Sus scrofa: one gene and its partner. The protein of the gene in region 1 purifies or fractionates together with the protein of each later gene. This does not show direct contact. Links are inferred from orthologs where the notes say so. Each region holds a gene or a part of one and is shown on either strand. Other genes may lie near its edges. The genes, in order: NIPSNAP2 and HADHA.

What was found.
Region 2: the proteins of NIPSNAP2 (region 1) and HADHA purify together in Homo sapiens (affinity purification with mass spectrometry; 3 studies listed by BioGRID and IntAct, with this or other methods). This does not show direct contact. The link is inferred for Sus scrofa from reciprocal best matches to the Homo sapiens genes NIPSNAP2 and HADHA.

Annotation. Positions count from the first base shown.
Region 1 is NC_010445.4:16,928,202-16,932,020, reverse strand, and holds part of NIPSNAP2 (protein NipSnap homolog 2), read left to right. Parts: intron 1-1,269; coding exon 1,270-1,409; intron 1,410-1,491; coding exon 1,492-1,537; intron 1,538-3,819. UniProt on the Homo sapiens protein: Protein involved in mitophagy by facilitating recruitment of the autophagy machinery required for clearance of damaged mitochondria.
Region 2 is NC_010445.4:112,759,528-112,763,346, reverse strand, and holds part of HADHA (trifunctional enzyme subunit alpha, mitochondrial), read right to left. Parts: intron 3,410-3,819; coding exon 3,276-3,409; intron 705-3,275; coding exon 566-704; intron 1-565. UniProt on the Homo sapiens protein: Mitochondrial trifunctional enzyme catalyzes the last three of the four reactions of the mitochondrial beta-oxidation pathway.

The DNA of each region.
Region 1 (3,819 bases):
GTAGGCCAAAGACGAGGCTCAGATCTGGCATTGCTATGGCTGTGGTGTAGGCCAGCAGCTGCAGGTTCGATTTGACCCCTAGCCTGGGAACCTCCATATGCCTCTGCGGCCCTAAAATAAAAAGGAAGGAAGGGATGGAAGAAAGAAAGGAAAGAAAAGAGAGGGAGGAAGGAAGGAAGAAAAAGAAAGAAAGAGGGAGTTCCTGTTGGTGGCTCAGTGAGTTAAGAACCTGACATAGTGTCAGGATATGGGTTCAATCTCTGGCCTCACTCAGTGGGTTAAGGATTCCATGTTGCCTCAAGCTGTGGTGTAGATTGCAGATGCAGCTTGGGTCTGGTGTTGCTATGGCTGTGGTGTAGGCCTGCAGCTGCAGGTTCGATTCAACCCCAAGCCCAGGAACTTCCATATGCTTCAGGTGTGGCCTTAAAAAGAAAAAAAAGAAACAAGAAAAAATAAATCTTGATTTTTAAAGAAAAAATGTCATTTCACTTTCTCTGTATATTTCTTCTCACATTTTATATTGTGGTAAAGTACATATAAAATTTGCCATTTTTCTTTTGGGGGGAGTGTTTGTTGTTGTTTTTGGCTGCCCCATGGCATATGGAGTTCCCAAGCCAGGGATCAGATCCAAGACGCAGTGGGGATCTAAGGATCTTAGATCCTTAAGCCCCTGTGCCGGGCCAGGGATAGAATCTGCATCTCAACGGCACCAAGACACTGCCGATCCCATCGCGCCACAGTGGGAACTCTGCCATTTTAGCCGTTTTTAAGTGCACACTTCAGTGGCATTAAGTACATTCCCAGAGTTGTGCAGCCACCACCACCACCACCACCATCTCCAGAACCTTTTCATCTTCCCAGACTGAAACTCTGTATCCATCGAATAATAACTCCACCCCTGGCAACCACCGTTCTACCTTCTTTTTCTGTGAATCTCACAATTCCAGGTTTCCATGTATGTTTTTTCTGGGTTGAAATGTCCTTGGAGGAGGGAAGAGCACGTGGCGGAACTCGCAGAGACACGTGTGAGCTCCCCAGGAGCCGTGGAAGCCACTTCTGTCACGCTCTGCTCCTGTGCGTGGGAGCGCACGCTGTTGGGGTGGAAAGCGGACCTGTGGTAACCCGGGTTCTAGAGCGGTGCCTGGAGTGTGTGTTGGCTGAATGGATTGATGGAGTTTATGAAAACAGTGTACTGCGCCACACAACCTAAAGACCCTGAAATCTTTGCACCTCTGATTATACTCACATTTTGGCTTGATTACTCCTTAGGAAATTGGCGTCTTCCAATAACAGACTTCGAGAAGAGAGCTGGCTAAAATCCTTGTTTGTCCGGAAGGTCGATCCGAGGAAGGATGCGCACTCGAACCTCCTGGCCAAGAAGGAAACAAGCAGTCTGTACAAATTACAGTGTGAGTGGCAGGTTTGCTAGCTTCATAGTTGACTTTTCCCCCTTTGTTCCTAAGTTTATCGTTGAATTTTCTTTTGTTTCAGTTCACAATGTTAAACCGGAATGCCTAGAAGCATACAACAAAATTTGGTGTGTATACCAGACTATCCTTTACTTGGGGGAAAAGAGTGATTTTAATATCTGTCCGTTGAGCTAACCCTTGCTAGCAGAGTGAGGTCTTTCACAGCTGTTCTTAAAGCAGAACACTCGAGGCTCTGAAGTTGAGCGCTGTTGTGGGGTTGCCAAGGGCGCTTTGATCTCAAGCACGCATTCAGAGCTAAGACATCACCCAGGTTCTCAGACTTCGGAATGTTACTAGGCTCTTGAGGTTGGAAGGACCCTTGCAAGGCAGTCCAGCCCAGCTCCTCGTCCAGCGCCTGAGTCCTTTTGCAGCCCTAGCTGACTACCTGTGCTTATTACCTTCATGTGCCACATCTCCAGATGGTTCTGAGTGTTAGGAGCTGGAACTCACACCCCAGGGCCCTCCACTGTTTCCAGTTTTACTCCTGCGTAACAGGCCACAGGAGCGTTCTTATGGGTTTCAGTAGAGCCAACATTTCTCCCCAAGTCTTCCATCCTCCGGGATGCAAGCCCCTTCAGCAGGTTCTCATATGACATGAAATGCATGTGCTCTTAAAGAATTTGTAAACTTTAAGATCAAAGAGAATTAATTGCATCAGTCCTTAAATAATAGCAATAGCATTTTAAAGGTCAAATTGTCAGCAAACAGAACTAACAAGCTTGTTTTAAGCCTTTCACATCTGCTGCTTTCATGAGAAAGCAAATGATTTTGTTACCAGAGCCAGCATAACTTTCAGAAGCAAAAATCTTTTGTTGTTTTACTTTTGGAGGTGGTTTGTGAAATGTAACATCAGCAGGGTTGCCTTTATTTTTTAAAAAAAGGCCCTTAATACAAAGCAGATGCTTTTTTTCTGAATCTCTTCTCAGAAAATGCAGTTTTTCTGTACGCTGATGTTTCCCTGGATTACCTTTCCCACCCTGTTTTTATCACCTCATCTCCTGTCTCACATTCCTGGCTGTCTGTCCATATTTCTAGTCGAAAGTCTTGTTCTCACTTCAAACACAATATATGGAATCACCTGCCCTTCCAGCTTCCCTGTGTGTGACACTCAGAGTGGTTCTACTGGACTCTTTCCATAGTTTTTGGTGATTAATCGGTCACCAAGGGCTGTGCCTTCTTCATTTGACGTGTATCTTTGCTTCTCTTGGCTTGTTTCCTTCTCCACCTCCCTCTCCAGGCCGGGTGAGGTGCGTTTCCTGACTTCCTGGGCCTGAAGCTGCACCTGTACCCCTGCCCTGCCCCCACCATGAGCCCTTCCCTAAAGTTTGTCAAATCCATCTGCTTGAGTTCTGTTTCCTCCTTCGTCCTGTTTTTCTTCTTTTCTCTGGAGCTCTCAGCAGCTTCCTGTTTCCAGTATATAAAGACTTAACTCCTGCCTGGTTTTTAGGGGCCCAAATAATGAGGTTCTGCCCAGCTCATCAAGGGCTGGCTACAAGCACTGCCCACCTCACAACCTCCGTTCACCTGGGTGCTCTGTGCAGGCTTCCGGTGGCCACACGGCTCCAGTTCTGGGTTGTTGACTCCCTGCCCACGTCATGTGGCCAAAAGGAAACCCGTGTCCGTATCCCTCACTTCATCCATCTTTCCCCACCCCCGATTCCCATCAGTCTTGTGCTGTTTCTGAACATTCATGGGTCATATACATCAGGTAGATTTAATATCTGATCTTAATTTTAAAAGGAAATGCTACCCTTCAAAAAAATACACGTGGTTTGCCATTGTAGTGGGTCATAAAGACATTAGAGTTTTGTTACCAGCTTTTCTCTGATAACTGTTCACACCCGCCCTGTCCTAGTGCCTCAGCATCTGGTGGTGATCACCCGCTTCATAGTATCGCTTGATGTCAGCAAATAGACAGGTTCCATTTCGGACCCTTGATATCTTTTTGCTCCCATTGTTGAATCTATATTGTACTTTGTCATCATCCATTTCTGTCCAGAATGTGCCGGTTTTAGCTTTTCCCTGGTAAGGGGCAATTGTGCCTCTCTGCTTTGCCTTTCCCTGTACATTAGCATCCGAACTCTGGGAAGGTCTCCACGGAACCGGGCGCCGCTCGGACACCTCTGTTACGTTAGCATCCTGCCATGACCGTGCCCGGACAGCGGTGACAAAACCGGGTGGTGTGTCCCGGGTGGGATTATGTGCTCCCTTCCGGATCCCCTCAGCTGGGTGAATTGAGGAGAAACGCAGGTGTGCTTTCATCTGGGTTCTTCTGCCCCGTGGAAGCCCTTTGGGGTGGTTGGGGTTGGGGTCGCTTTCAGACGCACCGTGTTCCAGCTCTGTCTTCCTC
Region 2 (3,819 bases), about 96 Mb from region 1:
AGCTCATGGCAACGCCGGATCGTTAACCCACCGAGCAAGGGCAGGGACCGAACCTGCAACCTCATGGTTCCTAGTCGGATTTGTTAACCACTACGCCATGACGGGAACTCCTAAAAGTTATTTTCTTTTCCCCTTCTTTCCTACATGCTCCAATCTGGTAGGCCTCTCTTCTCTCAAACCTTGTCTTTCCATCTTTACTACTCACAAAACGCTCGACGTATATCATGCATCATGTGTCTCAACTAGACTTGAGCAGCTCAAGAGCATGAATCACACTTCTGAATCTTTGCCCTGCAAACTTGAAGAAGCTTTTCTAGAACTGAAAGAGACCTTAGAGATCTAGTTCAAACCTTCTCAATTTATAAATGAAAACATGACACTTTGATTCACGTGCTCGGTGTCATGAGAGTAAGGATTAAAACCTATCTAGAAGTTTGATAATTAAAAAAAAGCTGATTCTTCCTCAACAACTTCTCTAAGGCAAAATAGTAGCCTAAAGGTTTGCAGCTGGTGAATCCAACAGTAGTCTGGACTGTATCACAATGGCTTTAGAATAAACGTGTACCTCAAGTCCTCCTCCTAAGCAGGTTCCATTGATGGCAGCCACAATAGGCTTTGTGGACTTCTCAAGTTTCTCAAATGTTCTCTGTGCTTCCTGTGATATTTGCGTTACCTCTTGAGAGGTCGTGCAAGCTGATAACATGCTGTAGAGAACAGAAAAAAAAAAAAAAATGAAACTACAACCTACTTTGTGTAATACTTCATCCACCATATCCTTATCCTATCATATATCAATATTTGGTAGTGAATCTTCTAATATTCAGATGTTTAAGAATGACTTTGCCTCAGATAGCACTAATATCAATGACATCCTCTCTCTATAAAGAGTGTTAAATTTCTGGATTCAGAGAACATGGAGCAAAATAGGCTGCATATTTTTGTTTTGTCAACAAATCACTAGATTACAAAGCTCTGTGCATGAGAAAATCATCTTCTGGTAAATATTTTCATGATCAAACATTTTCACTATCAGGTAGCTTTCAGATTAAATATCAATCGAAGTGACAGAATGGAAAAGCTTCACATTATTTAGACGGATCTAAAACCTTTGAACAGATCTCCTAATGATTAAAAAAGATCTATTACAATATTGTTGTCCTCAATACCTTTAATTTCATTTTGTTTTACTTGCTACTTATTTTGTTTCTGAACACATTTAAGCTGCGGATTTTGTACTTTTCACCAAGCATTTTATATGCTTGGAGTTGCTCAGCTAGCCTCACAGAAGCTGCAAGTATTCACCTGGGGATTTAGCTAGCTATTGCCAGGTACACTAGTGTCTGGCTAGGCTTAAATACCAGAACTAGAGGAAAAAGCACTTGATAGAGACAATTCTGCTTTTTCTAAAAAATAAACATTAAACAAACAGAACATAAATTTCTAATTACTATACATAAACAAAGAAGGAAACACAATAGTGAACAAAGCTTAAAAATATACACACACCTTAAGTACAAATTACTAAACTGATAATGCTGGCTATCAATGCCTAAAATGCAAAGAATAATATAACAAATACCCATACTTTGACAGAATTAACAACTATTAACCTTTTAACCCATTAAACTAAACCCTAAGACATCATTTCTCATTTTTGTAACAAATTGTAAACAAGTTATATACACATATATACATCATTGAAGAAAAAAAGAAAATATTAGTTGTATTGGTAAAGTTCCCTTTGACCTCCTCAAGTTCTACCAGCCACTTCATTTACCCTGAAACAACCTTTTCATGTTTGTACTGTATTCTTCAGATCAACTACATTTTATTTGTATCCATAAATAACACAGAGAAGTACTCATGCACGGTTTAAAAATGTTTATAGGGTTCGAATTGTGGCTCAATGGTAATGAACCCGACCAGTATCCATGAGGATGTGGGTTCCATCCCTGGCCTGGCTCAATGGGTTAAGGATCTGGTATTGCTGTGAGCTGCAGCATAGGTCACAGACGAAGCTTAGATCTGGTGTTGTGGTTGTGGCGCTGGCCAGCAGGTGCAGCTCCAACTGGACCCCTAACCTGAGAACATCCATATGCTACAGGTGCAGCCCTTAAAAAAAAAAGCTTACATAAACTCTATACTATATCAAAATTCTGCAACTTGCTTTTTTTTAAACTTAACATTATGTTTGTTTGCTTGTTTGTTTTTGGCTGCAACTGCAGCATACAGAAATTCATGGGCCACGGATCAAAACCTCTGCCACAGCAGTGACAATGCTGGATCCTCAACCTACTGAGCCACCAGGGAACTCCTTAACATTATGTTTTTGAGTTCTGACATTATGCTGTAGATCTACTTGGGTCCTCTAAACAGCTTTAAGTATTTTATCTTGTGAGTATTCCATGTATACTTATCTATTTTCCTAATGAATAACATTCAGCTTGATTCGAATTCTTCATTATTTTTAAATTACATAGGACTGAACATCTTCATGGATGGGTCCTTAAAAACAGAGGGTGGGATTTCTCTAGCATATATACCTAGAAGAGGTATCACTTCATTATATGATACATGTATTTTCAGTTTTCCTAAATGTTAACAGATTTCTCTCCAAAGTAGCTATAGCAATTTGCATTCCTACTAATATTTAACTTTCTCATTTCCCAAGTCCTTGCTAACATGATATTTTCAAACTTTTTAAATGTTTGCTGGGCTGATGGATTAAAAAAAAAGGGGCTTCTCATTGTTAGTTTTACGGTATTTTTTTTTTTTGTCTTTTTAGGGCTGCACCCATGGCATATGGAAATTCCCAGGTGAGGGGTTGAATTGGAGCTGCAGCTGCCAGCCAATGCCATAGCTATAGCAATGTGGGATCTGAGCCATGTCTGTGACCTACACCACAGTTCATGGCAACACCAGAGCCTTAGACCACTGAGCAAGGCCAGGGATCAAACTCGAGTCCTTCTGGATACTAGTTGGATTCGTTACTGCTGAGCCACAATGGCAACTCCAGTTTTATAGTGTTTTAAATTATATTCAAATATTGCTCCTTGAACTGCTTTCAACCTCTTTAAAGAAAGGGTATATTTGGTCTTATAAGTTTTAAGCAACAAGCCCTTCATTTTTATCAACTTTTTATTATACTCATGAAAATAAAAAAAAACTTTTAGAGAAAATTTACTTCTACCTTATTTTAAAATGAGAAGTGATTAGGCCTAAAAATCATACTATTAGCCAAGATAAAAGGTGACTTCAACTTTCCCAAAACTTACTTGATATCAGCACCTGCAATGAAGCAGCCTGGCTTTGATGAGATAAGGACAGCGCTTCTGATCTGACTGCTAGACCAGACTTCATTCATCACTTCTATGAACTCTGAATGCAGTTCCTGACCCAGAGTATTTACCTGCCAAAGGGACATACATATAAACTAAGAATTTAAATTTAAAGTAACAGATGTGCAAATCACCATCAAATGCTATTTTGATTTAAGCAAATATGCTTACTCAGGAGAAATATATTGCTAAAAGAAAGAGAGACGGGGAAGAAACAGTAGCTGTCTTATTAGGTGCTTGGGCCAAGATTAAGCACCTCTCCCTTTAAATATAGTTCTACTCCAAGGAGGACCTCATATTCCTAAGGAAGGTCATATTCCTAAGAGTTTGAATCATATGCAGGCTACACATAAGTCTACAAACATTTATCAGCTTGGAAAAAATTTGTATAATGTTAAGGAAAAAAAGTAATGAAATTAGACATAGGAATCTTAATTTTTAAAATATTTGTTGAAACTGGATTGTATATTAAAAGCACTTA